Linked DNA regions of Canis lupus familiaris. The protein of the gene in region 1 interacts with the protein of each later gene in a pairwise test. Links are inferred from orthologs where the notes say so. Each region holds a gene or a part of one and is shown in the gene's direction. Other genes may lie near its edges.

The links. The genes of interacting proteins can lie anywhere in the genome.
Region 2: the proteins of IPCEF1 (region 1) and CYTH3 interact in binary tests that used the Homo sapiens proteins (3 or more experiments, as listed by UniProt). The link is inferred for Canis lupus familiaris from reciprocal best matches to the Homo sapiens genes IPCEF1 and CYTH3.
Region 3: the proteins of IPCEF1 (region 1) and CYTH2 interact in binary tests that used the Homo sapiens proteins (3 or more experiments, as listed by UniProt). The link is inferred for Canis lupus familiaris from reciprocal best matches to the Homo sapiens genes IPCEF1 and CYTH2.
Region 4: the proteins of IPCEF1 (region 1) and CYTH1 interact in binary tests that used the Homo sapiens proteins (3 or more experiments, as listed by UniProt). The link is inferred for Canis lupus familiaris from reciprocal best matches to the Homo sapiens genes IPCEF1 and CYTH1.

The regions. Positions count from the first base shown.
Region 1 is NC_049222.1:44,638,088-44,646,441, reverse strand, and holds the start of IPCEF1 (interactor protein for cytohesin exchange factors 1), read left to right. Parts: upstream 1-2,921; 5' UTR 2,922-2,922; coding exon 2,923-3,085; intron 3,086-6,772; exon of another isoform or gene 6,773-6,853; intron 6,854-8,354. UniProt on the Homo sapiens protein: Enhances the promotion of guanine-nucleotide exchange by PSCD2 on ARF6 in a concentration-dependent manner.
Region 2 is NC_049227.1:11,642,552-11,650,108, reverse strand, and holds part of CYTH3 (cytohesin-3), read left to right. Parts: intron 1-1,986; coding exon 1,987-2,067; intron 2,068-3,168; coding exon 3,169-3,281; intron 3,282-3,386; coding exon 3,387-3,535; intron 3,536-3,727; coding exon 3,728-3,839; coding exon of another isoform or gene 3,840-3,840; intron 3,841-7,557. UniProt on the Homo sapiens protein: Promotes guanine-nucleotide exchange on ARF1 and ARF6. Promotes the activation of ARF factors through replacement of GDP with GTP. Plays a role in the epithelial polarization.
Region 3 is NC_049222.1:108,469,062-108,475,987, reverse strand, and holds part of CYTH2 (cytohesin-2), read left to right. Parts: coding exon 1-123; intron 124-212; coding exon 213-279; intron 280-1,282; coding exon 1,283-1,401; intron 1,402-2,551; coding exon 2,552-2,632; intron 2,633-3,126; coding exon 3,127-3,239; intron 3,240-3,325; coding exon 3,326-3,474; intron 3,475-3,877; coding exon 3,878-3,990; intron 3,991-6,175; coding exon 6,176-6,254; intron 6,255-6,468; coding exon 6,469-6,540; intron 6,541-6,638; coding exon 6,639-6,793; intron 6,794-6,884; coding exon 6,885-6,926. UniProt on the Homo sapiens protein: Acts as a guanine-nucleotide exchange factor (GEF). Promotes guanine-nucleotide exchange on ARF1, ARF3 and ARF6. Activates ARF factors through replacement of GDP with GTP.
Region 4 is NC_049230.1:3,548,693-3,556,249, forward strand, and holds part of CYTH1 (cytohesin-1), read left to right. Parts: intron 1-1,251; coding exon of another isoform or gene 1,252-1,253; coding exon 1,254-1,330; intron 1,331-4,165; coding exon 4,166-4,237; intron 4,238-4,843; coding exon 4,844-4,998; intron 4,999-6,608; coding exon 6,609-6,687; 3' UTR 6,688-7,557. UniProt on the Homo sapiens protein: Promotes guanine-nucleotide exchange on ARF1, ARF5 and ARF6. Promotes the activation of ARF factors through replacement of GDP with GTP.

The DNA.
Region 1 (8,354 bases):
TCTCTTGCCATTCTTGTCTGGTTCATCTTAGAGCACTGCATCTGTGCTCACCCTCACAAACTGGGGTGAAATAATCAGGTGTCATTACTTTGGGGCTGCCATTGTAGAGAACCAGGGTGTGATCCTGGGTCAGACTATAGTGGACCTAGTAATTGATATTTTGCCTAGGGGCTCCCAATGTTTTCTTTGGCTTCATCTTAGGCCTCATGGCCCTTTCCCTACTTGATGTAGCATCTTGGTGCTGGTACAAACCTCTGAGGAGGTTCCTTGGGTTTTAATCACAGATACCTTAGATTGGGCCTAAACACACAACTAGAATGACTGTGTTTTTAGAATTCCTGGCTCCTAGAAGTTCTTGGGATCTGTCAATGGCCTAGAAGAAGAGGCAGGTAATCATGTAGATTTAACCTGCATTGTATTAGATTGCTACGGTGTGTGTGTGTGTGTGTGTGTGTGTACAAATATGTTTTGCAGGACCCTTGCCTATATAAAAAATTTGAATAGTCAAAGTTAGCATACTAGCCTAATTCTGGAAGGCCTGTGAGAGCAATCACTTACAAGGCTGACATTATGGAATTTAAGACAATCATGAGAACAGAATCAGCCCCACAGAGATGAGTCTCTTCTAGCATCTAGTCAGTTCTATGAGCTAGGGAAGGGAAAGTGTCTCATTTGGGAGCAATGGACACAGGGTGACATGCCAAGGCCCCATTGGGAGATTGGTAGAGCCCTGCCCACTCACTTGGGCCCTAAAGGCATGTTGGGGTGCAGACCATAATCTTTGAAGTTTTGGGTTCTAGAAGCTCACAGAAGGGCCAGGGACACAAAGGAGTTTCATGCCTCCTGAAGGGGCATGGTCAACAGCCACTTGTATTTGGTGCAGGTTCTTCCAGGAGGTAAAAGAGGCAGATTGTTCAAGATGTCTTGCGGTTTGCCACCTCCTTGTTACTATGGTAAAATGGTCTGTTGGGAGCAGAGATTGACATGATTGGCTGAAAGAGGAGCTTTCCTTGCTTAGATTTGTAGATTTTTCTGTCTAAGTCTTGATTGTCAGGACTGACAGCTTCTGTGGGAATGCAAGAAGGACAAGTGAGGGAGAGGTCTGCCAATCTCTTCAGATGATGTATCACAGTATTTTAGTGGTGTTGAAAATAAAGTAATTTTAATCATCATAGTTTCTGTTTTAAAAAAAGCTGTGGCTCTGAAAACCATCTGTCAGTTCATTCTCAAAGTGGAGAGAGAGCAGAAATGTAGCAAAATGAGTGGAAAAGTTAACAGTAAAAAGGAGAAAATAAATGGAAGGAAAGAAAGAATAAGATTTTCTAAAGCATGCAGGAAATAGATCAGAATCCAGATGATAATAGAGCTTAAATTTAACAGAAAAATGCAGATGCCTGCATGGTGTCCGTTAAGCATGGGACTTGGTTTCAGCTTAGTTGTGATCTCAGGGTCATGAGATTGAGCCCCAGGTTGGGCTCCACACTGAGCGTGGAGTCTGCTTGAGTTCCTTTCTTCCTCTCCTTCTGCTCCCCCACCCTAGAATAGATAAATCTTAAAAAGAAAAAAAAAGAAGAGAAAAGAAAAGAAAAAATGTTTGAAATAATTTGGATAAAGGCATTTTTCCTTTCATGAATTTCAACTTCTTGGATCAAGTAATAACTCCAGACCATCCCCATGCCATACATCACTGTGTTTGTACTCATAGGGGGCTCTTATATTTTGTTTCCTTCTCTCCTGCTCTATCTTAACAAGAGATCTCCTGCTAACTTGCAAAACTAATGGATTTTTTCCATGTCCTTTGCTTTTATATAAGAACAAAGATGGATTTCCTTTCTTGATTCCTATGGTGCTGCTATCACAGACTACCATTTAACAGAAGATGCTTGCTTACGGCTCTCATTGCTGGTTAAGTGTACAGTTTATTGCCACACATATTACATACTTTCTGTGTCTGAGACTTCTGCCTCTAGAGTGACCAGCATTTTCTATTTCCTCTTTAGCTCTAGTTCTTGGATTAAGAATAATGCACATTGTTTGCCCATGTTCATGGACTTTCTATAAGTTTCTTTGCTGCTCTGAGAATGTTTTGTCATATACCAGGCTTGTAATTTTAAAGGATGAGCACATTATGAATTAATATGTTGGTTTTTAAAATTTTAGTTCAGCATTGTCTTGCTCTGTGAAAAAAGAACAAACCTAGGCCATAGTTTATTCTACCTGAGCTATCTTTTAAGCACAATAAATTGTCTTTTTTTAAAAAAAAAGTTTTTTTAAATTTTTATTTTATTTATGGTAAGCACACAGTGAGAGAGAGAGAGAGAGGGAGAGGCAGAGACATAGGCAGAGGGAGAAGCAGGCTCCATGCACCAGGAGCCCGATGTGGGATTCGATCCCGGGTCTCCAGGATGGCGCCCTGGGCCAAAGGCAGGCGCCAAACTGCTGCGCCACCCAGGGATCCCTAAAATAAGTTTTTATTTAAATTTCAGGTAGTTAACATACAATGTAATATTAGTCTCAGGTGTATAGTATAGTGATTCAGCACTTCCATACAACACCCGGTACTCATCTGAATCATTTCCTTTTCAAAAACCTTTAAAACTGGCCATGGTGCTTATTTTGCTGTATTATTCCAAAGATTATAAGGTCTAGAGGGGAGGCAAGTTACTTTTGGATCAGCTGAACCAATAACTGCCTTTAGGAATTTCTTTCTTCGTTCTTTAACAAAAAGTACCAATTATACTAGTAACTGCCTTCTTTATCAATAGAGCGTTGGTTGCATGTTGATATTCTTGGTTTATTCTTCAGTTTTAAAATGATATAAGACCAGAATCCCTATTTCTAACTTAACTAATTTGCTAAACAGTTCTTGAAATATATTGCTAGAATAAACTTATATTTTGTTTGTGCCTGAAACAAAATAGAATGATTCTTCACCAGCATCTAGTGAAGAAAAATGATTCTTCATCAGCTTGGGCTTCTATGCCAAAATACCATAACTGGGTGCCTTGTCCACAACACAAATTGATTTGTCATTGTTCTGGAGGCTGGGAGTTCAAGATCATGGTGCCATCACGGTCGGGTTCTGGTAAGAGCTCTCTTCTGACTTGCAGATTGCCAATTCTTCTTGTCTCTTGGTGTGGTAGAAAGAGAGGGAGCTAGCTCTCTGGCCTCTTTAATGGCCTTAATCCCATTTATGAGAACTCCACTGTCATGACCTAATCAGCATCCAAAGGCCTCACCTCCAAACACATTACATGGGGATTAAATCAAAACCTACGAATTTTGGGAGGGGGAGTGGAGAACACACATAGTCAATCCATAACAATCAGTATATATTAAGGAATTTTTCTTCCTTGAAATTAGCTTTATTATTCATTTGGTAATGAAATGTGTTTTCCACTTTTTAGTTACAGAGCTTATCAGGAATACATTTTATTTCATTTCACAAACTTAAAGTATTTATGACCTCATTGTTTTGGCTGAGTCTCATATGGTGTTGTGTTAAGGAGTTGTTTTTTAAAGAAGTTAATAGTCTCAAATGGGACTGAGAAAACTATTCCCCGAAACCCTTAAACTCTGAAACAAGGCACCCAAAATGTCTCTAGGAGAGTAGGATAGGGAGTTTAATCAACCTTGAAGAGTAAAAGCTATTTTATTTGATGAAACCTGTTATCATACTTGCTCACATCCTTTAGTTGTGTGCTAATTCCATCAGGAAGAATTGTTTTCTATAACAAAGCCATTTCCAGGTAATTACTCCCATTCAAGATAATTGCTACCACTTGGTGAGTATGCATAGGGTCCTGCAAGTTTCTCATGTGATATTTCATTTAATTCTCACAAAATCTCTGAGCTTATTGTTATTATTTCTGTTTAACATATGAGGTGTCTATTTAGGCAAACTAAGTGATTCTAAGAAGTTTCCACATTTAATGAGTGGCAAGGTGAAATGTTTGACCCTAATGCTTATGTGTGTTGTAGTTTTGAAACATGTTATTTTGGTTGTGTACCCAGAAAGTAATTTGGAAGCCCTATATACTCCTTGACACCTTACATTGTCACCTAGTTTTTATTATATGTTTCAATAGTTGCAAAAGATGTCATTTCTGGCACATGATAAATCTTGTTATAAAAGGTTATATTTAAAAATATGTATATTTCTTTTGATATATATTAAAAGAACTATAACCTGTGTGATATAAATAGCAGAGATCTGATATGTCTCACATATATATTTTTTAAAAAGTCATCTTTGGAGTTTTAATTTTACATTGCTGTTTTCTTCTCCACCCCATTCCACCCTCCGGGAACTCATATTTTTATTCTACTATTCCATGGATTTTTATGCAATTATATATATGTTTTAAAATCTTTCATTGATGGTTTTATACATTTCAGCAAAAAATACATATTTAAACTGAAATTGATTTAATTTTTGTGCATGACAAATTCTTTAAGCCATATAAGATTTCATTTGGAGTGGGTTATCACTATAATTATTAGTACATAATTTAACAAATAACATGAATATGATATTTTGACAAAATAATGATTAATACAAGAGGTACATATTTTTATTGAGAATGCATCATTTAATAAAATATATGAGGCTTTCCCCCTAATTATAGAATTGCTTATAGGTGAATATTATTTATTGCTAGAATGAGAGAGAGTTCAGCACCAATTTTGATCCTTTTCTTGGTTTTTATGTATGTGACCTTAGACCTGTTTTACACATAAATAAATAGTTGGGAATGAAGCACTCTTGAACCCCTTCCAACTATATGTCAAATACCTCATGTGATCTATCACAGCAACTACTTTTAATAAATAACAATTAAAATAAATTTTTAAAAATCTTGTTGAAAGCAAAGAATTAGAAACTTCTTGACTCATGAAAGGTATTTGTTGCCTTATCATTAGGTTCTTATACACTTTTAATTCCTGGGTATTATACAAAAATCCTCCATAAAAAAAATCCTTTATCAAGAGATATCAAATAACTATTCCTTCTTCCTTGAACTCTTTTTACTTATGAGCAGCTTGCTTAAACTGATACACTCAGGAAGTGTTGGGAACAAGGCAAAATTATTACTTTCAAAACACCTTTGTCAGCATCATTTTTTTTATGAACTGCTTTTATTGTGTGCTTTATAAATATTTTTATCAAAATCTTGGTGCTACATATTTAGCTTGTCAATATATAGATAACAAGTATGCTGTACCATGGTTAGCTGAGCTGGTTCTCCTTGTCTAAACAATAAGCAAACATATTTATATTAGTATCCATGACCACCATTTCATTTCCTAATTCTTTTGGATTATGGGTCTGTGCTTTTTATGGAAGAGGAGAAGCAACATTTGAGTTTAAATTGTTTTGATGATTCTGCCTCAAATTATCTTTGAAGCTTCTTGGTGAAACTTTTGATTTCATGTATGTTTACTACTTCAAGAAATAATGTACTGAAACTCTAAAATTATTAAGTAAACACTGACACATAGCCTCTACAATGGCTCTGTGCCTAGGTATGCCCCACCCTCTGCTTTATTCTTCCCCAGCTGTACCACTGATTGTGTTTCTACCCATTTTTCTTTGATTCAGAGAAATCTGACATCAACAGTCTCCATATCCTGCAGATTGGGAAGGTGAATTCTAGAGGGATATTCCTGACAGCACCATTCCCCTAAGCAAAACACTTTGGAATTCATAGGATTTGTTTATGGAAACTCCTCTATAGTTTAGTGTTTTTACTAGTTTTTTTTTTTTTTTTTTTTTTTTTTTTTTTTTTTTTTAGATTTTATTTATTCATTCATAAATAAAGAAAGAGATTCAGGGAGAGAGAGGCAGAGACACAAGCAGGCTCCATGCAGAGAGCCTGACGTGGGACTAGATCCAGGGTCTCCAGATCACGCCCTGGGCTGCAGGCGGCGCTAAACCGCTGCGCCACAGGGGCTGCCCTACTAGTTTGTATTTTTAATTTGGTTACTCTACAAATGTCTATTGAATCATCCTGTGTACAAAGATTGGGGAAACAGTAGTAAACAAGTGAACAAGACACAGTGCCTGCCTTCAGGTAAGTTATACTATAGTGGGGAGTCAGATATGAAAGAACTAATTGTAACAATAATAACTCAGTACAGTTATGAGAACTTCTATGAATAAAAGACAATGAACATGCTATGAGAGCATGCAAAAGGAAGTTGATGTCTCATAAGAACTCAGGAAAACTTTCTTGACTAAATGACATTTGGTCTAAGGGCTGAATAAGATGGTAGCTATAAACCATCTTAAGTGGGGGCTGTTGAAGCACAGGCACAAAGCTCTAAGATTGATGAAACATATTTAAAAAATTAAAAAGAAAGCCAATGAATCAAGAAAGAAAGAGACATGGAAATGATCCAAGATGGGGCTGGAAAGGACGCAGTGGCCAGGCAGAAGCTTCCTTGTAGATTTTCATGATACTAGCCTTTATCTCAATGGCCATTGTAGATATTTAAAGAAAGAGAGGAATAGTCAAATGTGCATTGAAAAAACATCACTCTGGGCAGGAAAGCAAGCCAGGACCCCAGTTGGGATGTTTCTGCAATGGTTCAAGAGAGAGGTGCCTTTCACTACAGTGGTTGCAATGGGTGTAGACAGAGTGAACACACCTAAGGGATTGTTAGGAGGGTAAGGGATACGATGTGCACAAGGGAAATATTCCACATGATCAAAGGAAATCTTAATATTAGTGACTGGAGCAGTGTATTGTGAACAAACCCCAATGCTTACTGGAAGAATTAGAGATGAATTTTTTCTTTTTGTCTTCCATCATCCTCTATCAGCTCTTCTTATTTTACATTAGAAAGCTGGCTGAAAAAAAAAAAAGAAAGAAAGCTGGCTGAGCAAAGGGATTAGATTTCCACTAAAATAATAATTCCCACTAATTAATAGATCTATTAATTAAAAAATCATTTTGACAACTCTCGCCTAAGCTGAGTGCTTTACTGGGATAGGCCCTGGGGCATGAAGGAGACTGGGTCTTGGTCTCTACCATTGGTATTCTTATCATCCAACCAGGGAGACCTGACCACAGCATCATGGTTCATGAAATACCATGGCCATTGAGGAGTTAATTATGAACAACATCCTGTGGGAGGCTTTGAGGGAGTGAGGGTGGTACTGCACGGTTAAGAGAGCAGGCTGTGGGGATTCCTGGGTGGCTCAGTGGTTGGGCATCGGCCTTTGGCCAAGGGCATGATCCTGGAGTCCCGGGATCAAGTTCCACATTGGGCTATCTACATGGAGCCTGCTTCTCTCTCTGCCTATGTCTCTACCTCTCTTTGTGTCTCTCATGAATAAATAAATAAAATCTTAAAAGAGAGAGAGAGAGAGAGAGCAGGATGTAGAGTCTGGATTTGAATTTGGAAATACCCAGTTACTAACTTCCTCCTCTATGTTGCCTAAACTATCTCATCTAAAACATGGGAGTAATAACAGTAGATTATTTGTAGGTAGTTCCAACAATCATATGGCACGATACATGAAAATCATCAATTGGCAGAGAATTTAGCAGTGGCTTAAGGAATACAATAGATTCAGCTGTTCTATTGTTCTAGGAGAGGGGCTGCTTAGCCCTCTGAGTCAGGAAAAGTTATATAAACAATGCTTTATATTATCTTTAAAGGGTATATATAGCTGACCTTTAATACGTTTGTGCTTAAGGAATAAATATGTTTTATGACAATAAAATAATTTATCAAACATTTATTACATGTTAGGTATTGCTGTGAGTATTATAAAGATATTTTCTGGGGGGCTTGGGTGGCTCAGTCTGTTAAGTGTGTGCCTTCAGCTCAGGTCATGATCCTAGAGTTCTGTGATGGACCCTGGCACTGGGTCCTCTGCTCCATGGGGAGTCTGCTTCTCCCCGTGCCCCTCACCTGGCTCGTGCTCTCTCTCTCTCACTCACTCTCTCTTATATAAATAAATAAAATCTTAAAAAATATATAATTTCTTTTTTTTAATAAAAAAATATATTTTCTAACTTCACTTTTGTCTGACCCTAAGAAGGAAATCCTATTACTATGCCTCTTTCACAGATAGAGTCCTGAGGTCCCACAATATCAATTACTTGCCCAAGATTACATAGTAAATTGCTAACCTGAGATTTAAACCCAGTTCATACCAAATCAGAGCTTTGACCTTAACTTTTACAAGTTTACAAGCTTCTTTACCTAAAAGTGCTGCTGAATTCAAACAAGCTTTTGCTTATTATGTATTTGCTCAATCAATAGATATTAAGAATACATTGCTATAGAGTCCATAAAATACTTCTAGCATTTTATCAGAACATTTTTATTTTAAAAATACT
Region 2 (7,557 bases), on another chromosome or scaffold:
AATCTTTTTTAACAAATGATCTGGGATACCTGGATATCCACATGTAAAAGAATACCACTGGACCACTCACCATATGCAAAAATTAAACTGGATCAGAGGCCTACATTTAAGAAGGAAACTATAAAACACTTAGAAGAAAATGTTAGGGGTAAATCTTTGTGACCTTGGATTAGGCAAGAGTTTCTTAGATGTGACACCAAAAACATAAATAGCAAAAAAAAACAAAAAAACAAAAACCTAGGTAAATTGGACATCATCAAAATTGAAAACTTGGGGATCCCTGGGTGGCGCAGCGGTTTGGCGTCTGCCTTTGGCCCAGGGTGCGATCCTGGAGACCCGGGATCGAATCCCACGTCAGGCTCCCGGTGCATGGAGCCTGCTTCTCCCTCTGCCTGTGTCTCTGCCTCATTCTCTCTCTCTCTCTCTGACTATCACAAATAATAAATAAAAATTAAAAAAATATATATTAAAAAAAAAAATTGAAAACTTGTGTTTCAAAGGATGTCATCAAGAAGGTGAAGAGGCAATCTACAAAATAGAAATCTTTCCAAGTCATGTATAAGTCTGAGAAGGACTGCTATCTAGAATATATAAAGAACTCTTACAACTCAGTAACAAGACAATTACAAATGAAAAACATCTGAATGGACATTTCTCCAAAGAAGATGTGTAAATATATGATAAGGCCATAAGCACACGACAGGATGTTCAGCATCCTTAGCCCCCATCAGGGAGCTACAGATCAAAACCATAGTGAGCTGCCATTTCACACCCACTGGGATGTCTGTAATCATAATAAAAAGATAATAAGCAGTGCCAAGGATGTGAAAAAATCAGACCTCTTACACACTGCTTGTAGGATAAGCGATGCAGTAGCTGTGAGAAGTAGTTGGCAGCTCTTCAAAATACTAATGTCCCCACGTGACCCAGTAATTCTACTCCTAGGTATACACCCAAGATAAGTAAAAACATACATCTGCACGAACCCGGACCAATGTTTGTAGCCACATTATTCTTGTTAGCCAAAAAGTGAAAGCAGTTCAAATGTCCATCAACTTAGATGTCCCTCAACTGGTGGATAAATAAGATGTGGTACATCCATACTATGGAATATTAATTGGTAAAAGGAGAAACAGAGTGCTGGTACATGCTACCACGTGGATGAAAACAGGGAGATAATAGAAGAAGCCAGTTGCAGAAGACCATGTGTTGTGTTCCTCCCTTTACGTGAAGTGCTTGAGACAGGTGAAATGAAAGTGCTTGGGATTGGGGTAATGAAAGTCTTCAGAAATTGATAATGGTAACAGTTGTACACATCTGTGAATATATTAAAAGCCATTGAAAAGTATGCTTGAAATAGGACAATTGCATGGGATGTGAATTATGTTCGGACAAAGCTGCTAAAAACAAACCCACAGAAAACCTGAACAGTGGCCCAGGGGTTGCAGCACTTCATTTAATCGTCTGTGCCATGAGGTCTAGAGTCTGAATTCTCCATCGTTTGGTGGCAAGTGCATGAGATGAACTATGACATTTGTGTAATACGAAGTCTGGCAGTTCCTGTTGCTAGAAGTACTGAGTGTCTGCAGGTTTTGAGTTCCACAAAAATACTAAGTTCTGAGTCCATGCCAGGCTCTGTTTTAGGCACATGGGTTGTGGTGTTAAAAAAGAAAAGATGGATTCATCCACTCGAGCCATATTCTGCTGGCATGATATAGGCAGTATGTAATAAGAATAATAAATGTGAAAACCATTTCTGTCATATTTTAGAAGGTGTTAGGGCAAAGGATGAAAGGAAAGTGGAAGCAGATAGGGGTGTTAATAGCCTCAAGTCTGAGAACGAACTTGCAATGCAATACATCTTAACTTCCAGTTAGGCAAAATGGAAAACCACAAGCACCTGCTGGATGTAGGAAATATCTTTCTTTTGAGATGATTGAGAAATTCTGTGCAGTGGACTTGGACTGTGTTTGCTTTCTTTCCCAGGGACGACTTTAATATTAAAGTTCTCCAGGCGTTTGTCGAACTCCATGAGTTTGCTGATCTGAACCTTGTCCAAGCCTTAAGGTAAGTGTCAGAGTCTCGGCTGTTAGCGGGGAGGTGCTGGAGCAGGAGGCCGGGGCTCACCCCCAGAGGAGAGGGTGTTGCCCAAGGGTCTGGGTAGGCGTTCACGGACCGAGCTTGTGCTCGCCTTGGTGGGACCGCTGGGTGTGCGTGCCGTTCCCCACTCCTTTGCTTCTCCCTCATCTCAGTTGGTACTCAGTAGTCAGTGCATACTTTCTTCCCACTGCTGCAGCAGAGTCTTGGGGCGGCCTAGGCATGGGTCTGCTTCCTGGGGCATCTGATCTCAGATGCCTGCCTCGTGGACGCCCCAGCGTGGGTGGGGAGCGTGTGGACGGCCTGCTGTCAGAGGCTGCCCTCTAGTCCCTGCCTTGTCCAGGCAAAGCCAGCCATCATTACATGTCATAGGGGTGAATGCAAGAGGATGGCCCTTGTGTGGCCCTGAGGTTTTGCCGGCCACCATGGTAGAGGTGCCAGGTCATCCCTCTGGATGTCCACTCGAGGCATCGTCCTGTACACTCTGCTCTTCCTGCACCACCAAGAGGATCCGGTTTCCTTCCTGGTGTCCCAGCTGAGGCTCCGATGGCTGTCCCCCAAGCCAGGGCCATGCAGTCTCCATTGCGACTACTTCCTGCTCTGTGGCTGCAAAGTGTGTGACTGACCATGTTTCTGTCCTGCTCTTGGCCCTTGTCCCCATACGGCTTCCGCAAGTTGCACAGAGCTGGGGGTGGCTTTGCTGTCTGCCATTTGTCCTCTTCGGTGCCTCAGCTGGCCTGGGCTGAAGGAGGTGCTGACAACTCTGCAACACAGAGACACAGGCCTGGCGAGTCTGGGGTGTGGTCATGGCAGCCAGGGTTCCCTTTCTTTTAGCTGGTCAGTCTCTGGATGGAGCCAGGGGTCCCCGACGTGCTCCTGCGGGTGGTGCCGGCTGTCCCTGGGTGGACAGTTGAGGGCAGCAAGTGGCGGCCGCCACGTTGCTCCTGCGGGTCCTGGGGCTCTGCCCCCAGTGCCTCCCTCTGCCATCCAGGGGCTGCCTGGAGCATTCCCTGGTTGGGGGTCCTCTAGAGGGAGAGACACCATCATCCCCTGGTGTTGGTGTCTTCGCAGGCAGTTCTTGTGGAGCTTTCGACTTCCGGGGGAGGCTCAGAAGATCGACCGCATGATGGAGGCGTTTGCGTCCCGCTATTGCCTGTGCAACCCGGGCGTTTTCCAGTCCACAGGTCGGTGAGGGTTGGGCCCCAGCACTGTGCGCCTCTGCCGGGTGGAGGGGGTGCCTCTGGCCGGGCAGGCGGCTGAGCGCCCCGGCTCCCTCTGTCCTCTTTCAGACACCTGCTATGTGCTGTCGTTTGCCATCATCATGCTCAACACCAGCCTCCACAACCACAATGTGCGGGACAAGCCCACGGCTGAGCGCTTCGTCACCATGAACCGTGGCATCAATGAGGGAGGGGATCTCCCGGAGGAGCTGCTGCGGGTGAGCTTCCCTCTTCCACGGAACTGGCCCTCGCCCCTCAGGAGCTGCCACCGCCGCCCCTTAACCTTCAGGCACCTCGTGGCCCTGGTCCCGCTGAGCCTGGCGCCCTCGGGGACACAGTGCTGACTGGGCCCTCCCCACCCCTGGCCCCCGGCTGCATCCCTGAGACCATTGTCCCCGTGCTCCTCGCAGAACTTATACGAGAGTATCAAGAACGAGCCGTTTAAGATCCCCGAGGATGATGGCAATGACCTGACACACACGTTCTTCAACCCTGACCGTGAGGGCTGGCTCCTGAAGCTGGGTGAGTGGCGGCCAGCAGGTGGGCCCCGCGCTCGGAGCCCCCAGCCCTCGGCCCCCAAGGCCCCCGACCAAAGGCAGAACCGCTAGAAGCAAGGGCTGTTGGGCCGAGTCCGCCCACGGTAGCCGGCCGCACGCCCCAGACTTGATGGCTGCTGCTTTGAGCCCTGCCCTGTCCGAACGAGGCCATCTTGTCAGTGTCCACGGCAGGAGAGTAACGCCCGGGCTGCACGAGCGTCCGAGAAAACTGCTCACTTAGCATCCAGATAGACCCAAGCAGTTTTCTGTACCAGAGGCAGGTGCATTTACTGCGAGAACCTGCGTGCCTTTCTCTTGGTTTGGTGTGGCTGATTTTTGATGAGTGGTTTAAATGTGCCTTCTTGTTTTCCTTCTGCCTGTGGCTCCCACCTTTCTGTTCTGTGACGGGCTGTCCCTGCTTGTTCTGCGTTAGGAGGTACGTACCCAGTGGCTTCCTGCCCCTTCCCCAGCTGCTCATTCCTCTCTCAGTTTCTCTCCCCCGTTGGTCTGTGTGAAGCTCTGATTTGTGGCTGCCATTCATCTGACCCATGTGGCTTTGGACTTGCCGGGGTTAGCTTCATGCAGGGTGCAGCGAATGTGACACCTACACCTCCGGGGCCGGGCGAGGCATGGCTGGAATGCCAGCCTTTCTGCGCCCGGGAGCGCATGGGAATGCCGTGTGGGAACGAGCTTGCCCCTCAGTGTCCTTAGGGCCTGAGCAGCCACGAGACTGCTGGTTGCCTGCTCCATTCCCGTACATCACCGGTTGCCTCTCATACTAACCAAACAGCGCATGTTTGCACCACCCTTGGACGGAATCCGGAAATGTTTAAAAGGCTTCCTAACCATTGACAAAGAAGTACAGAAACATTGATATTTTCTGGGCAATTTAATGAATTGTTAGGGTGGGGTGTTTTGTTTTGTTTTTACTCTGGGGAGATTGGGATTTCTGCCTTACTGTGACATGAGAGCCTGTGAGACGTGACAACTGTGTACCATCCGGGCACTCTGAGAACATACTGTAAGACATCAAGAAGTCCGGCAACTTTGTGTTTTTAATCAAGTGTGGGTAAGAGGCATGAAGGTGTGTGCTGGGGCTCAGCCATTCTGATTTGGGGTCTTGCTCTGACTTCTCTGCCTGTGCTGCCAGTTAGGGGAGTTCTAGATCTTTGTCTGCAAACTCAGAGCCCTAAGCGTGGACTTGAATGCTTTCATGGATTTCGAGATGCATCTCTGAGGTCACGTCACACCTGTGGCCCTGGGGTGAGGGCAGAGGAGGGATGTGTCTGACACACCAGCAGCTGCACTTGGGTCCCTCCTGTTCCTGCACGGCCAGGGAATGCCCCTCGTGTGACGGTGACAGTGACAGTGCAAGCCTGCCTGGCAGTTGGTGTAGCCTCAGCACCAGTGGGAGATGCTCCTGCTTCTAAAGACAGAACAAAATGAGGGAGGTAAAGGCACAGCAGGCCTTATTTTCCAACCTGTGTTCTGGTTGTACATGTAAGCAGTGCCCAGAGCACCCTTAGGGGCCACAGAGCTGGCTTGGGTGCTGGGTAGGTGCCCAAGGGGCCCCATACAGCCAGACATGGCCGTGGCACAGCGGGTAGGTGGGAGGACCAAAGTCTGCTCCTTCCATGTTCCGCCGCTGCGTGCGTGCGTGTGTGTGTGTGTGTGTAAGTTATGGCACTGGTGTTCTCATTAGCTGTCACAGACCTAGCAGTGATGGTACTGCCCAGACCTTGAGCTGGCCAGCCCAGTGACTGCCCAGGAGCCACCTTCCCAGAGCGCCAGCAAGCCTGCTGCTGCCTCCCTCTGGCCCAGGCAACCTCTGTACCCGCTGTGTTCACAGAGCTGTAGCCGTCCAGAGAGCACATTTCCCCAGGTTGGTCTGCTCTCCAGAGCTGCTGAGGCCTGGAGACCATCCTGCCCACAGGCCGCCTCCCCGCAGTATTGACACTGGCCTGGCTACTGAGGGGCAGCCGGTTGGTGTTGGGCTCTGAAGACCAAGAAAGCAGTAAATTTGCTGGAAGCCGATGCTAAAGATGCGTTAGCTTGGCCTGGGTTAGCTCTGGGCCCTTATCCAGCACAGGGCAGACCGAGGCCTGGACACAGAAGTGCTTGGCCAGAGACCTATGACACAAGGGTAGGAAACAGCGTGTGTTCTGTGCATGTGCTTAGATAGGAACAGAGGTCACCGGGTGGCCTTGCTTTGTGTTTCTCATAAAAAATGTAGTCTTAGGGCAGGTGGCACTTTCAAAAGGCCTGCATGCTTTGTGAGAGCATGGGAGCATTGTAGCATTTCTTCATGATGGTCAAGTAAAGGCCTTATAGTCGCTGAATTTTGAGAATGGATCAGTTGTGTTGAAAACAGGAACGTGGATCAGACTTGACCTGTCCTGCAGAAAACCTGTTGCAGGGTAATGGGTGCCCACATGCCGTGTGCCCACATGCTGTGTGCTAGTTCCATGGAACGGCCATGGAACTAGCAGGAAGTTCACAGGGTGGAGAAGCAAGGCTCCTTTCTGCAGGAGTGAGAGAGAGTGAGTGTGTGTGTGTGTGTGTGTGTGTCCATCCCCATCTCCTGAAGCTCAGCCAGGAACACACATATGCAGAGCTTGTCTGTTCCCTTGCAGCAAAACCTGGGGTGGCTCCAACACCAAAAGTGTAGCCGCCTCCCCATGCCTGCCCCTGCTGGGCAGGCCCTGAGCTGTAAGGGTACCTACGGCTGGGCTGGGAGGCCCTCTGGCTGTGACAACTGGACCAGGGTTGGGGCTCCCCTGGACGTGCCACTGAGCGCAGGAGCAGTGGGGCAGGAGCCCAGGGGCAAAGTGCTGAGAAGCCTTCCTGGACCGCCTGCGGTGGGGCCTGGAGGTGAGTGGAACACCTAGACCGCCACCTAGTGACCCAGTGACAGGAGCGTGGACAGAAGAGCAGGTGCTGGACAAGTGGATGGTGCAGGACTCCTGGGAGGATTCTCCAAGAACTGCTTGTGGGGCGAGCAGAGGGAAGGTGCTGGCAGGAGAGTCGGAGCTGCCGCTGGCATGTCAGCCAGAAGGAAGGGCAGGGGCAGGGAGGGGAGCCAGGAGGAGGCCATGGAGGCCACCGAGGGATTGGGGTCTTCAGCTGGGGGTGGGAGCCTTTGGCAGCTTCAGACATCAAGAGCTGGGATGAACTTGTCCTCTCAAGGGACGCCTGTGGCTGCTGTTTGGAGACAGTGGTGAGGCTGACAGGGGCCAGAGAAAGACCTCGTGGGGGCAGGGGATGTACCTGGAGAGAGTCCGTGCTGTCCTATCACTGGAGGACTTTGAGACAGGGGTCTCCTGGGTCCCTGCCCTGTGAACTTGGGCTTCCCTGGGGTGCTTCGGGAGGTTGGAGAATAAACAGGGCTCCTCTACCCAGCTCTGTGCTGGCTCTTCAGAAGAACAGATGAGGCCTGGTCCAGGGGGAGCAGAGGATTCCAGGGAAGCCCCGAGAGTCTCAGGGTAGCTGCACAGGGGTGTGGGGAGCAGGGGTCCAGCTGGGGCTCAGAGAGACACTGGGGGATGGGGAGGGGACATGTCTGTAGGCCTGGGGGTGTGGAGGGGGCAACAGGAATCTGGGTAAGGCACACAGACCCTTCAGACAGGGAGCAGTAGTGAGGTGGCTGGAGCTGGGGGTGTCGGTCAGAGACGGGGGGAGACATAGCAGGCCTGCCTTCCCCGCAC
Region 3 (6,926 bases), about 64 Mb from region 1:
GCGGATGGAGCTGGAGAACATCCGGCGGCGGAAACAGGAGCTGCTGGTGGAGATCCAGCGCCTTCGGGAGGAGCTCAGTGAAGCCATGAGCGAGGTGGAGGGTCTGGAGGCCAATGAGGGCAGGTGAGGGCTGGGGTGGGGAACTTGGGGATCATGGGGCCAGGCCAGGGACGTCCAGGCATTGAGCCTCCATCCCTTGCTCTCTCCTGCAGTAAGACCTTGCAACGGAACCGGAAGATGGCAATGGGCAGGAAGAAGTTCAACATGGATCCCAAGAAGGTGCTTGGGTCACAGGGCTGGGATCGGCCAGGCAGACATCCAGACAGGGGCTTCTGGCACTTTCAGGTTCTAGATCTACTTGAGGTGGACACATGTGGCTCTAATTCCGGGATTCAGATATTGGCAGTCCATTTGTTTTCTGAACACTAACGGAGGTGTCCCCGCCTCCTGACCTTTGTGTGTCCTGTGTCCTCTGCCTGGGAGGCTCCCTTCCCCTTTCTGTTCATATTTCTGGACCCTCTTGTGGTGCCACCTAGAGTCTCAGGAGTAGCTCGAGTGTGGTAGGGAACATGGACCATGACATGCCCAAAGGAGGGTTGACCAGTGCCACTTCACAGAGATCCCAGGGCTGTGGACCTTCATGGGGGAGCTTCGTAAAGTTAGGGCTTTCTCGAGGAGAGGATGTTCAGGTCCGGTTTGAAGGACGAGTCAGTGTCCACCTGGTGCAGAGAGATGTTTGTTTACTAGGTCATTCATTTCACACATTCTCTGTGGCCTCCCTCGAGCTTGCCCGTGTACTAGGCAGGGCTGGAGACCCAGGACAAGAGCTGGCCCTACCTTGCCTTTGATGAGCCCTTAGACATGGCTGCCACACTCCAGAGTTAGGTGTAGCTCTCCTGGCCCAGGGTGAGCCAAGAAGGCCCCATCCATCCTGAGGCTTGGCCCTCACAGCCCGTGACATGCTGCTGCCTACTAACAGTGTCTCACGGTATTCTTGAAGCCCAAAGCAGTTGTAGTTTGTCACACATTCAGCAAACTCACTGGGCTCCTATTCCTTGTGGGACTCTGCCCTTGCTGCTGGACTAACCAGGCAAAGGCAGAGGGAACAGTAGGTGTGAAGGCTCTGAGGCGGAAGGGATGGTATTTAGGGACCGCTGTGAAGCCCCAAAACAAGACTTGACCCAGTTCTGTCCAGGCTGGGGGTGGATGCTGAGGTCCTTGGGGAGGCGGTGGGGCGTGGCTTTCTGGCTGTTGAGGCTGAGACCTGGTCCCCACCCACCAGGGGATCCAGTTCTTGGTGGAGAATGAGCTTCTGCAGAACACACCCGAAGAAATCGCCCGCTTTCTGTACAAGGGTGAGGGCCTGAACAAGACCGCCATCGGGGACTACCTGGGGGAGAGGTGAGACCCTGCCCAGCTCCCTGTCATCCCCTGTGCCCAGCTCCTTTTTTTTTTTTTTTTTTTTTTTTAAGATTTTATTTATTCACGAGAGCCACAGAAAGAGAGGCTGAGACACAGGTAGAGGGAGGAAAAGCAGGTTCCATGCAAGGAGCCCGATGTGGGACTTGATCCCAGAAATCTGGGATCACGCCCTGAGCCAAAGGTAGGAAGCACCCACTGAGCCAGCCAGGCGTCCCTGCCCAACTCCTGCCCTTAGGCCACCAGCTTTCTCTCCTGAGAGAGGCCCTAATAGACCTGCCCTCTGGCTGGATTGTGACAGGGGAGTGATGGAGGGGTCAGTGGAAGCCTGGGGCTGTCTGTGCTCATCTTGGGGGCATGGGAATCTCCGGCGGATGCCTGAAAAGTTGAGGACCATCCATTTATGTCTGGGGACAGTGGAGAACATCTGTGAGTCTTGTGGGAGCATGAGAATTGTGTAGACAACTGATGTGCATTGGAGTTACGTGGACAGCTAGAGAGCATGGGCACCTGTGGACACCTGGGGTACGAGGTCTGTGGATATGGGTGCCTAGGGATTTGTGGACATCTGGGCTGATATGAACATCTGAGGGACACAGGACCGTCTGGATGTCTGGGTTGCTTAGGAATTGTGTGGACATCAGGGAATGTATAGAACTTTCTGGACACCTGGCAAGTATAAGGACTATCAGATGGTTGGGATTATGGGGATTGTATGGATATCCAGAGATGTTTGGGGGCCCTCTGGACATCTGGGGCATATGGGGATTGTTTCAGGAGCATCTGGGATGCATGGGGACAGCCTGGCAGGTGTGGGGACCATTTCTGGACATCTGCAGAACCCGGGGACCATCAGAGAGGTGATAGTAGGTGGGACACATCTGCTGTATTCCTCTTAACTACAAAGGTTCAGCTAAACCAGGGATGATCTTGCAGCAGATGGTCTTCCCAAGAGCGTGTTCTGAGCATTCCTGTCCTGGAGCCAGGCCTGTGCTGGGGCCAGGCTAACATCTCGCCTGCTCCAGTGGCAGCCACTATGCAGAAGCGGTGGCCGAGACTCCCCAGTGTTTGCTTCCTGTCCACTCCCACTCCAGCCTCCTTCCTGTGCATGACTCTGTCTCTGTCCTCCCAGGGAAGAGCTGAACTTGGCAGTGCTCCATGCCTTTGTGGATCTGCATGAGTTTACTGACCTCAATCTGGTGCAGGCCCTCAGGTGAGAGGGATAGGGTTAAAGGGCAGGAATGTACCTGTCAGGGCTTTCTTTACAGATGATGAAACCCTACTCAGGAAAAAAAAAAAATTAGGGAATCGAGCTTTTCATGTAAGGTAAAAGTCCACAGTAGGGCCTCCTTCAGGCACACCTGTATCCAGGTGCTCAAATGGTGTCTGAAGGTCGATTTTTCTCTATCTTTGGGTTGTCCTTGCCACTGTGTTGGCATTGCTCTCTGTAGACCCTCTTCTCACATGGCAACAGAAGCCCTTGGTGACCACCAGACCTTTCTAGCAACCTTAGCAGAAAGAAAGGCTTTTTTTCCTGTATAAATCCCTCAAAAGGCTTACAGCCAGTACTCATGGGGCAGCTTGGATCCATACCTGAGACAGCTGCTGAGGCCACAAGGCTGTTACTGCTTCCTGACACGGGGAACGAGAGCGGGGAGAGGTTTCTGCCAGTCCTGGCACCCACACCCGGCTCCCCCTCTAACCCAGGCAATTTCTCTGGAGCTTTCGCCTCCCCGGAGAGGCCCAGAAGATTGACCGGATGATGGAAGCCTTTGCCCAGCGATACTGCCTGTGCAACCCTGGGGTCTTCCAGTCCACAGGTGGGCGACCCAGACTTCTGGGGTCTGGGCAGGCGGGCCGGGGGGCCCACTGACCTGTGTCGTCACCACCTGACTGTCTGGTGCAGACACGTGCTACGTGCTGTCCTTCGCCGTGATCATGCTGAACACCAGCCTTCACAATCCCAACGTCCGGGACAAGCCGGGCCTGGAGCGCTTCGTGGCCATGAACCGGGGCATCAACGAGGGTGGGGACCTGCCAGAGGAGCTGCTCAGGGTCAGGCACCACCCCCTTCCCCTTCCCTGCCACCCCCCAGTGCCATCCCTCTTCCTACCCTGGGTGGGCCCTCCTCCATGTTGGGCCTCCTGGTGCCTGAGCTGTCCGGGGTGATCATGCCAACCTGTCCGTTTCCTTTTCCCTTCCTCCCTCCCAGGCCAACCTCAGTCTCCATCTCTCTGTCTTTTCTGTCTCTTGAGCTTTGCAGACTGCTGCAGCTCTGCCTCTTTTCTTTGTCTTCTCTCTCTGCTCCCCAGGCCTCCTTCCACCCATCTGCCTCCTCCCCTCCTCTTCCCCGGGCCACTCCACCAGTGGTCCCACCGCCTCCCCCCTCCTCCATGGCCAGGTAGCCCTGGGAGGGTCCCTGGGGCCTGGTGTTGCTGACTGCACCTTCGCCCCTCAGAACCTCTATGACAGCATCCGAAATGAACCCTTCAAGATTCCCGAGGATGACGGCAATGACCTGACCCACACCTTCTTCAACCCGGATCGGGAGGGCTGGCTCCTTAAGCTGGGTACGTCCCCTCCTGAACCTGCTGGCTGCCTCTGCAGGGGGACTTTAGGGGGCCCAGGCTCAGGACCTGGCTTTCATGCGCATTTGCTATGTGATCTTAGGCCCATGATTTGACCTCTCTGAGCTTTGTTTCCAAATCCTCAAAATGGGCCTGAAAACAAGATGAGGCCTGTGTGCTGGGCCCCAGCACAGGCATAGAGGAGGGGCCCCATAAATATGTGTGGCTATAAGGTAGGCATTGGAGAGCACCGAATAAATGCCAGGCTCTGCTTATTGAATGTAAAGTTCCCAACAGGGCTGGAATGCGTGGGATGGGGCCCATCCCCCAGGAAACACGGGGTGCCAGCCAATTCAGGATACATTGTTAGCAGGGGGGGTGTCAAGCAGGTGCCCCTTTCCATGGGGTTACCTGAGGATTGGAGTTGTGCCCACTTGTGGCTTCATGGGAGATTCACCTGGGAACTCTTAAAAGCCCAGCGGCCAAGCCGCAGACTCAAAGCCAGGATTTCTGGGGCAGGATGGGTGCCAATCATGTTGAAAGCCCTCTAGCTGCCTTCCAGGGCAGAGCCAAGGTTGCGAGCAGCTGGCTGGGAGCCATGCCTGGGGATGGTGGGTACCAGGGGAGTGCTAGCTGTGGCTCTTTAGTGAAGAGGTAGCGGATGGCTGCTCCGGAGACACAGGGAAGCTGAGGAGGAATAACAGCCAGGAGCAGACAGTGGAGGCTGCTGGAGCAGCGGGAGGGCCCAGTGCAGGGATTGGAGGGGCGGGGCAGGCAGGGCTGTGTTCCCTGCACCGTGGAATTTTGCTCTTGAGCCAAGACCTGGCTTCCCCAGCAGCAAGCAGGGCCCTGACTGGGTGCATAGATGTCCTGGTAAAAGTGTAAACTGCTCTTTCTAGCCCACAGCGAGTGGCCAGATTCCTGCATCAGCCCCAGGGGTGGGGGCCAGATGAGTCCAGAGTCAGATTTCTCTGGAGGCCAGGAGGTGCCCCTAGCCAAGAGGGTGGGAAAGAGGAACTCTGGCAGGGCAGCTTCCCAGGAGCTAATTCCCCTGTAGACCTTTCCCACCCACAGGAATGCTTCCCATTTCCCAGATGAGGACTTTAAGGCTTGGTCACTGTCCAGCAGCTACAGGGCAGGGGTGGCTTGGGGCCCAGATCTCTGACCAGAGTGTAGCACATGTTGAACTGGATCAAAGGAGGGGGGGGGGCTGTGTTCACCAAGATGCTTAATGAAAGCCGTTCTTAACTGTTACTGTCTAGTCCCTTGGGGACCACAAGGAACCTAGAGGCAGGTCGTCTTGAGGTGGGAAGGTATGGGTGCAAGTGGGTCTGGAGACTGGAGCCCAGAGAGGGCAAGAGGTGGCCCTGAGGTCACACAGCCAGTTTGTCCTGGAGCTCACATGGGTCCCCACAGCCACCTCAGGCCAAGCACCGGGGGTTTTGTCCTCTTCCCTTTGGGATGACCTTCTGGGGGTGAGATCTCTTCCCTCTGGCAGTGGAGGGCCTTCCCAGCCGGCTGAGGACCTGTCCCGGGGGTGGGGAGGCACCAAGCAGCGACACCAGGAGGTGTTGGGGGGGCTCAGGATCTTCAGCCTCCCCAGGAGGGAGAGGGTCATGTCGATGTAACTCGTTTTCTTCCTTCTCTTCCCCCCTCCCCTTCCCTCTCTCCTTCCCTGCGTCTTCCTCTCTGCCCTCTCTCTTTCCCACCCCCCTGTGCTTTCTTTCCCTGGCCCGCCCTCTTTCTGTTGCCTGCGGCTTTGGGGGGCACCCCATTCTCTGCCTTCCCCTCTCCTCGCCTGGTCCTGCCTGCTTTCTCGCTGTCTGCCCCAGGAGGTAGGTACGCTGCCGACCTGACCTGACACCGACCTGACACGGGAGGGGCTGCCAGGGGCTGCCATGGCCCTGGGCCATAGGAGGGGGCTGGGCACTCGGGACTCGGACTCCCAGGCTCTGGGCAGACAGGCAGGCTTAGAAAGTGCGGAGCCCCACGTTGGGGGTGGGCGGGATCCTGGGGGGGGGGGGCCTGAAGGCCTGTCCCTGCTTGTCTCTCTTCCCCCGCATTTCTTCATCCCAGGCCCTGCCAGCCCCGCCTTCCCTGCGCTCACTCTGCCTCTCAGTCCCCTCCCTGCCTCCCGGAGGCCCTGTCCCCCCTGTTGAGCCCAGGCCCCCTCCCACCCCTTCCCTTTCAGGGGGCCGGGTGAAGACGTGGAAGCGGCGCTGGTTTATCCTCACTGACAACTGCCTCTACTATTTCGAGTACACTACGGTGAGGGCAGAGCTGGGCTTCTCTCTGGGGTGCTGGGAGGAGGGGCTGGGGGTCAGGCTCTGGGGTCTGAGGGAGGAGGGCTATACCAGTCCACTAGCGCTGCTGTGACAAAGTACCACAACCAGTGACTTGAACCACAGGCACTGCTGGGGTTGGGGAGGAGGAGCTGAGCAAGGACTGGAAAGTCTGAGTCTTGTCCACCTTGTTCCTTCAGGACAAGGAACCCCGAGGAATTATCCCCCTGGAGAATCTGAGCATCCGAGAAGTGGATGACCCCCGAAAACCGGTAAGACCCTCTCTGTGCCCCTTCCTGCCATGGTGGCACCTCCTCTGGGCCCAGGGCCAGCTCTGACCTGCCATCGCTCTGTTCTCATGTCTCCCCAGAATTGCTTTGAGCTTTATATCCCCAACAACAAGGGGCAGCTCATCAAAGCCTGTAAAACAGAGGCCGACGGCCGGGTGGTTGAAGGGAACCACATGGTGTACCGGATCTCGGCCCCGACACAGGAGGAGAAGGAGGAGTGGATCAAGTCGATCCAGTGAGCCTGGGCTCCGGGGTCCTTGGGTGGGAGCAGAGGGCGTGGGGAGCTGGGCTCCTTGGCCCTCACCCTGGACCCTCCCCTTCTGCAGGGCAGCTGTGAGTGTGGACCCCTTCTATGAGATGCTGGCGGC
Region 4 (7,557 bases), on another chromosome or scaffold:
TGAGCATGTGGGCACGGCCCGGCCCGGCCCCTGGCAGCACACCCTTGAAAAGCACCCTGCCCTTGGCTCAGCTGCCTGTGGTGAGGGACAAGTGAGGAAGCATGACTCGGGTCATACCAGCTTTGCACCCCATGGGCCTTGTCTTTTGGGAAGGTGAGAGAAGTGATATCCTCTGGAGGTTACATTTTAGGCGGAAGAGCATATACTGTCAGGGCAGAAAGAAGTGCGGACAGAATGGCATGTGTATCATAACATGGGGAGGCCTTTGCATGGTTCAGGAAGCTGCCCCTTGCCCCGGCGTAAGCAGAGCAGGACCAGGTCCAGCTCAGGGCTGTGGAGGGTGCGGGATGCAGCCTCACTAAGACAGCCGGCAGCTGAGCCGCCCTCCCCAGTGCTGTCCTGAGCAGAGCTTCACGGCCCCAGCGTGGTCCTCCCACTGAGACGCTGAGGAGGACGGAGGGGCCCCTTCGGCACTCACGGCTGCCACCGTCCCTCTGGTCTGCGGCCCCTTCCTCTCGCTCATTGTGTTCAGAGCTCCACGTGAGGAGTCCAGGCTTGGAAAGGCTCCCGAGCGCTGCCTCTGTGCACCGTGGGCTCCTCCTGGTGCAGGGACTCCCCCTTGTCTCACCCAGGACTCGGGAAATTTCATTTGCAGGACACTGGCCCGGGGCCTGAAAGCCAGTATAGAATTTCACTATAATCAGGAAGGTTGGGGTAGGAATTTGGGTTCCACTCCCCAGGAAAGCCGTAGATGTGATTGTGAAGGGTTGACACATTGTAGTTCCCCTTTCCTCACTCCTGCCCCCTCTGATGAAGCCCTCCTCCTGTACCCGGGCAGGGTGCCCCAGCAGTGTAGCCCCTCTTCCCCCTCTTTCTTCTGTTGGCCCATTTCCACCACACCGACGGGCTTCCATGGGCGCATCTCCAGCCCAATCAGATTTACATCGCGTGTCCTCATCGCCCGGGTTCCCTCCCCAGCCATGCTCTCATCCCACTCTCCTGAGTTCATCTCCAGGTGCCACCTGACTTGCTTGCTCTGCTTGTACCCACAGACTTTCACTCTGTGAAAGGTGCTTCTGTTTTGGCTCTGTGTCTTGTTACTGATGTAAACTTTGCCATGGTCTCAATGTTCTGGTACCCCTGCCCCTCGCTTCCCCCGCCCTCGAGCTTTTTGAGGGGGGGGGGGTCATGTTACGGAGCCTGCTCCCGTCTGCTTGGCTCCTGTCGGACCCGCATCTCTTTTTGCTCCGTAGGTGGCAGGGTCAAGACTTGGAAAAGACGCTGGTTTATTCTCACTGACAACTGCCTTTACTACTTTGAATATACGACGGTGAGCCTCTGGGTCTGCTGCGGGACTAGGGGGGGCCAGGCCTCTGTTTCTGTCGGACTCCAGTCAGGGGTGGGGAGGTCCCAGAATCGGGGGGCCCTGCAGGTGATGTGGGCAGAGGTGGAAGCCCTGCATGGCACAGGGTGTTAGAGGCGGCGTTTGGAGCCGGGCTGGGAACAGCCAGCCTGGGTCGGTTGCCAAGAAAGGGTTTATAGCCCTTGAAAGGTGCATGAAAATCACAATGTGGAGAATTCCGATTTTCTGGATGCAGGAGAAGCAGCCCCGGGGGTTGAAAGAATAGAAGAGAAGTAAAATGAAATGAGGGAAGTTGGGAGTTACTGGAGTTTGAAGTTTTCTCAAACCGTGGAGGTTCTGTTGGTTTTCAGTGGGAACAGAATCACAGCACAGCTTTGTGTTACACGCAAGTCTCTTTCATAAGAACCTGTGAGAATAAAAATGAGAAAATAAAACCTTTTTCGAAGCTCCCTCTGCTGTGGCGCCCAGAAAGCCTGGCTGGCCGGGCTCAGACTGGCTGCCCACCTGTCTCTTGATCCCTTGTCACGCCTCCATTCTTGGTAGTGTGGGACTTGTGTCTTGAGATAAATCAGGGCAGTTGGTGCTGGTTCTGCAACCAGGTCTTCACTGAGTAAAGGTCACGGATCCTGCCAGGACAGTGAAGAAGGTAGGACCTCAGTGATGAAGGAAAGTCAGGGATGTAGCCTCAGTAGGAGCCAGGACCCTGGCACCTGCCTGGTGAGGTGGCTGTACTCTGTGACGCTCTGTGGGGAGTGGGCATCAGCCTGTGATGCGGCGTCACCCCCAAGGGCCACACGTTAGGACATCCAGTTAGTTTCCTGTTGTTCCCGCCCCCAGAGCACCGCTGAGAACAGCTCAGAACATTCCTTTCTGCCCTCCCCTCCCCAACACCCCCCCGGCCCTGCCCAGAGCTGGCCTTTTTTCTCAAAGATACCTAGACTAGTGGTATCTTTAAAGTCTTGTTTGGGTTTTTCCCCACTATTCTTTGGGTTAAAATGAAACATACACAGACACCTAAGCAGTATGCCCTGAGTTCGGGAGCAGGCTCCGCGAGATTGCAGGATGCTGTGGCTCCTCGTGATGCCAACTGTGGTGGCATTGCCTGATCCCACACTCCATCCAGCAGCGTGCCGGCCGGCGTTCCATGAGGCCACAGGACATCAGGGAGTGTGTTTCTGCAGACACGGGGGTGGGGGGCCTCAGAGTTAAGGTGGTAGGGAGAACGTCCACACAGAATCACCCAACATGGTACAGGGAATCTAGGGGAAGGACTGACAGCTGCTTCAGTACAGCTCAGGGACCAAGAGCAGGGGCAGAGGCAGTGGCCTGGGGGCTGGGCGGAGGGACCTTTCCCCACACAGCCCCGCTGCCTCCCCCTTGCCCTGAGTCCAGGAGAAGCAAACAGTAGGGCTTCTTCCCTCTTCCGATCGGCGAGCAATAAAGTCTGCAGCTGGGTAGGAATTGGTGAAATAGGAAAGTGAGAAGATGGGCCTCACTTCCTGCAACGTTGGTGTGTGCCCTGGGCTGGGAGCTCAGTGGGAGCTCTGTCACAGGGAGTGTGCCCGTGAGCGGCGTCGCCACCCCCAAGCAGGACAGCGGCGGTGCCAGAGAAGAGCTGGAGCGCGGCAGGTGTCAGATGGGCCTGCCCTCTGCTCACGGTTCTGTCGTGACTGTGGAAGGGGCCAGAACACAAGCTGGCCACCCCCCACCCCCCGCAAGGTGCAGGCTGAAGAACAGGTGATCTGTGTAATCACAGATCTAGAAGTTAGGTAAAAACTATAAGGAGTGGAACAGACTAGCCGAGAATAAAATCACCATTACAGAAGAAAGATTGGAGACAGTCACAGATTGTGTCTGGAAAAGATGAGTGTGAAGACAGGGAAGAGGTAAGCAGTTAGGAGGACAGGAAAGGTGACCCCAATGCTGGAGCGTCGGCACCCGCGCATACACAGATCCCATCTGTTCCAAGATTATCCCCCCAAAAGGGAAAGGAACCTGAATCTGCAAATGGGGAGTGCACAGTGTCTCAGGAGCATTTGTCGTAGGGAGCTTGGTGCCAAGGCTTAGTCCAGCTACCGTGGTGAACTTGGAGTGAAGTCGTGGGCTGCGGGGTGGCCGGATGCCCAGGAGAGGGAGTGGGAAGGTTGGCGTTAGCTGTCCGGCGGGTGCGGAGTGCATGTGCGTGGTGGCCTTTGTTGAGAGGGCCCCCGGGGGCAGGGGCCTGGCAGGGGTGTCCTGGCTCTGCTCTGGACAGGCCTGGAGGTGCCTTTGCAGACCTACCTGGAGTCGTCAGGGAGGCAGTTTCTCTTTGAAGATCCTACGGTCTGGCGAGGGGAAAGCTAGGGCAGGGGGTTGTGAGTGTACATAAACGCACTAAACTGTCTCCGGCGTTCGAGGCAGCGAGCCGGGCACCTAGAGCAAGACCAGGGCTTTCTGGGGTTGCCGACACTGGAACAGAAGGTGAAGGCGTGTGTGCAGGAGCCGGGCGGAGGAGCCACGTGGTTTCTGTGAGAGGCTGGCGTGCTCCCTGCTGGAGGGCCTCCCGTGGGCTCTTCCCAGACACGTGCTGAGCCTCCCCTGGGCACTCACCCCGCAGAGGCCGCCGGGCGCAGGGACTCCTATACCCACACGCTTCCTGGCCCGTTCCTGATTTTAGAATGTAGGGTGTGGGCCCCAGAGCTGATTTGTGAGCCCGAGGTTATGGGAGAAGAGCAGAGCCCCGGCAACTTGTGAGTGAGGGACGTGGGGGCACGCGAGCTCATGACCCAGCGTGAGGTCTCTGTGTCTGCCACTGTTCTACAGGATAAGGAGCCCCGTGGAATTATACCTTTAGAGAATCTGAGTATCCGGGAGGTGGAGGACTCCAAAAAACCAGTGAGTATCTCCTGGGGGACGGGGTAGGGGTGGGGGTGGGGGGCCAAAAGAGAAGGTAGCAGTTCTTAAAACAAGGCTGAAAGTGCAAAGATTTACCTAAAACTGAAAAGGAGCGTCGTGCCCCTGATTCAGCCCAACTCAAAGTCACCTTCACGTTCGGGCCAGAGACGAGGCTATGGCTGACCTCTGCCCCCCTGCCTCTGCGTCCCTGTGGCCTGTCCACGAGCGGTGGGATTGTCCTTCCTTAAAAGGCAGCAGGAAGCGCCCACAACCGGGCGCCCTCCCGACGCCCCCGGTACCTGGAATGTGCCGGCGCTACGGGCCGGGCTCTCGAAGGCACCTGCGTACCTACCGCTGTTCGCCGCGTTGCTGGTCTGTTGGGAGCGCAGCGGACGTGTGTGCCTGGTGTCTTCGCTAGCCGGGCTGACGGGCAGGCAGCCGACATTCTCCGGCGTTCACTGCTGGGCTCCTCTTCGCCGTAGGAAAGCACACGTTGCCTGTGTTTCACGGGAGTCAGAACGAAGGGTCTTTTGAGAAATAAACATTTTTTGGTCTTGATCAGTAGCTTTCTCAGGTCTTTGTCTTCCTCTCTTTTCTGATTCTCAGAACTGCTTTGAGCTTTACATCCCTGACAACAAAGACCAAGTCATCAAGGCCTGCAAGACGGAGGCTGACGGGCGGGTGGTGGAAGGAAACCACACCGTGTACCGGATCTCGGCCCCGACGCCCGAAGAGAAGGAGGAGTGGATTAAGTGCATCAAGTAGGTGATCTGAGGCGTCGCGGTGCTTTCACCGGACGAGGGCTCTCTCCTCGCACACGTCTGCTGCCCAGCGTGCCGCCCGTCCCTCGCCTGGGCTCCTGGGTTAGATCTTCAGGGGAGAGTCTGACTGGAGTCCCAGACTGTCTGTCAGTGGGTCCTTGGGTGCTTGGCCAAGACAGCAGCTCGAGTCTAGGCTTCCCAGAGGGCTCCTCGGCCTCGTGGTCAGGATGGCAGCGCAGTGGAGATAGTAATTGTTTTATCATTTCATTTTCATTGAAGCACGCTCTGCAGTTGCCTCAAGCTCTTGTGTGTGCATGGGTTACCCTCTGTGTCCCGTGTGCCCCGTTGTGTGATCACTGGAGCGGCCCACTGGCAGTGCACAGCCGCTCCTACTCTGTTCCGTGGCCTGTACTCCTACGCCCAGAAACGCTGAGCCCTCTTTATAGACACGTTTGGAATCGTTCCGTCCTTTAGTGAGGGTGGGAGGGCACACACAGGCCCTCCCTGGGAAGCTCAGTTCCTGGCTGGGCCCCAGCACCACCTGGCCGGTGGTGCAGGATTCGCACACCGTGCACATGCCCTCCGGGTACCGTCTCCTCACTCTTCGCCGCAGCTGGGGAAGCACGGTCGTCCCCATTTTACAGGTGAGGACACTGAGGCACAACACAGTGAATAAAATTGTCCAGAGCCACAGAGATGGTGCTGGTCTTCAGACCTGAGCCTGTGACTCAAGAAGCCGCACTCCTGACCGCCAGGCAGCCGTCGGCTTCGGCGCCCCTGGCTCTTGACACTCAACTGAGGCCTTTGTGACAAGGTCCCCTTGGGACACATGCCAGGGACTGTGGATTCTTGCTGCCCCAAGGAGCTGTGCAGATGCACTTGGGGACGCGTCATCTCTGGTGAACAGACCCCTGTCGTCTACCTGGTCGGGTGCAGAGCCAGTGGGCAGCTGGGCTCGTGGGCAAGCGTGGAGACTCGTGGGCACTTAGAGTGTAGCAGCTCTGGAAAAGCCCTTGAGCACCCGCGGCACAACGTGCTGGACAGTTGGGATTGACGAGTGCACCAGGGTGGCCTTGCTGTCACCGTCCTGCGCTGGGGTCTCTGGGGCAGTGCCCGGGCACACGCAGGCTCCCTCCCCGCCGAGCCTGGCCGGCCGCCCCCTAAGGGCCCCGTGACACTGCGGACTGCCCACCTGTGGTCTTGGTTATCGAGTCGGTCGGTGTGTGCGGGACTCAGAAGCTGTGTAGTCCAGAGTGGGGCGGCCATTGAGCAGCACGTGCCAGACCACCACGGGCCACGGATCGTGTGGCGCTCGCAGTCACGTAGAACTGAGGTCCCACGTTTGTCTTTCTGGGCCGGAATATTAGAGTCTGTAACACTCTGTTCGTAAACCCACCCCATGGTTAGGTAGAAACAGGCAGTAAATAGTGCAGAACTGTCTTGGCACACGGACCATGTGTCTCTTCCAGAGCTTGTCCCTTAAGTCATTGTGAGGACACGGTGACCGTTGGCGCCACTGACTTGGCCTTTGCAGTGACAGTCGAGGGGGGTGGGGGTGCAAGCCCTCCGGGCCTGTTCCTCAGCCTGTTTGTTCTCTCCTCTGTGTCCAGAGCAGCCATCAGCAGGGACCCTTTCTACGAGATGCTAGCGGCGCGGAAGAAGAAGGTCTCCTCCACGAAAAGACACTGAGTCTGCACAGCGAGCGGTGCCAGCGTGCAAGGCGTGAGAGGCCCTGGGTTCCTTCTCCGTCCCCCCCATGGACGGGGGGCGGGCTGCCGAGCAGGGCTGTCACCTGCTGGGCGTCACCCTGAATTCCTAGAGACTGGCTTCAGCTTTGCTATTCATTTTTAAGTGGGAGAAGGGTAGGCAGTTAGCACCGGGGAGAGGGATCTGACGCCCGTCAGGCGAGCCTCTCTCTCTAAAAAGATCAGAGCCCCTGTCAGCACATCAGCCTCCTTCCTGCAAGTCTCTCGCTCAGCAGGTCTGATAGCAGAGCCCGAAGCCGACTGTTTACCTCTTGGTTATTTCCCTGTGAAGAAGCCTTCAACCCTGCACCATAAATACATGTATCGATATATTATTACTCTATGTTAAGAAAGAAGTGGAATGGAAGAGAAGCCACGTACTATAAAGATATATTTTTGTTTTTTAAAGAGAGAAAAAGATAAAGTAGAGCCGTTCAGAGGCATCCTGCCTGGTCCGGGGTGGGGGCTCTCTGGGCAGCCGCTGGGGTCCCCCCACCCGCCCCCGGGCCGCTGGCGGGAGCCGCCTTCCCAGCAGCTGGAGGGCCGGCCGGGCCGCGGGAGAGGCGCGGGCACGGCGGGCACAGGCGGGCACAGGCGGGCAGGCCGCTCCGGCTCTCCGCTCCACGCGCTGGGGGCGCCGAGGCCAGAGGAGAACCGCTGGACACTCGCACTGTCCTTTCTCTTTCCGAGTTCCTTCTTGTCGGGCTTTAAGACGCAAAGTCAGCATTTTCCCTTGAGCTTAAATACCCAGTAACCAAAACTGTGAGGCAGGCAGTCCCAGCCGAGGCTCGGGACGGTTTCCTGCTCGGTTCCT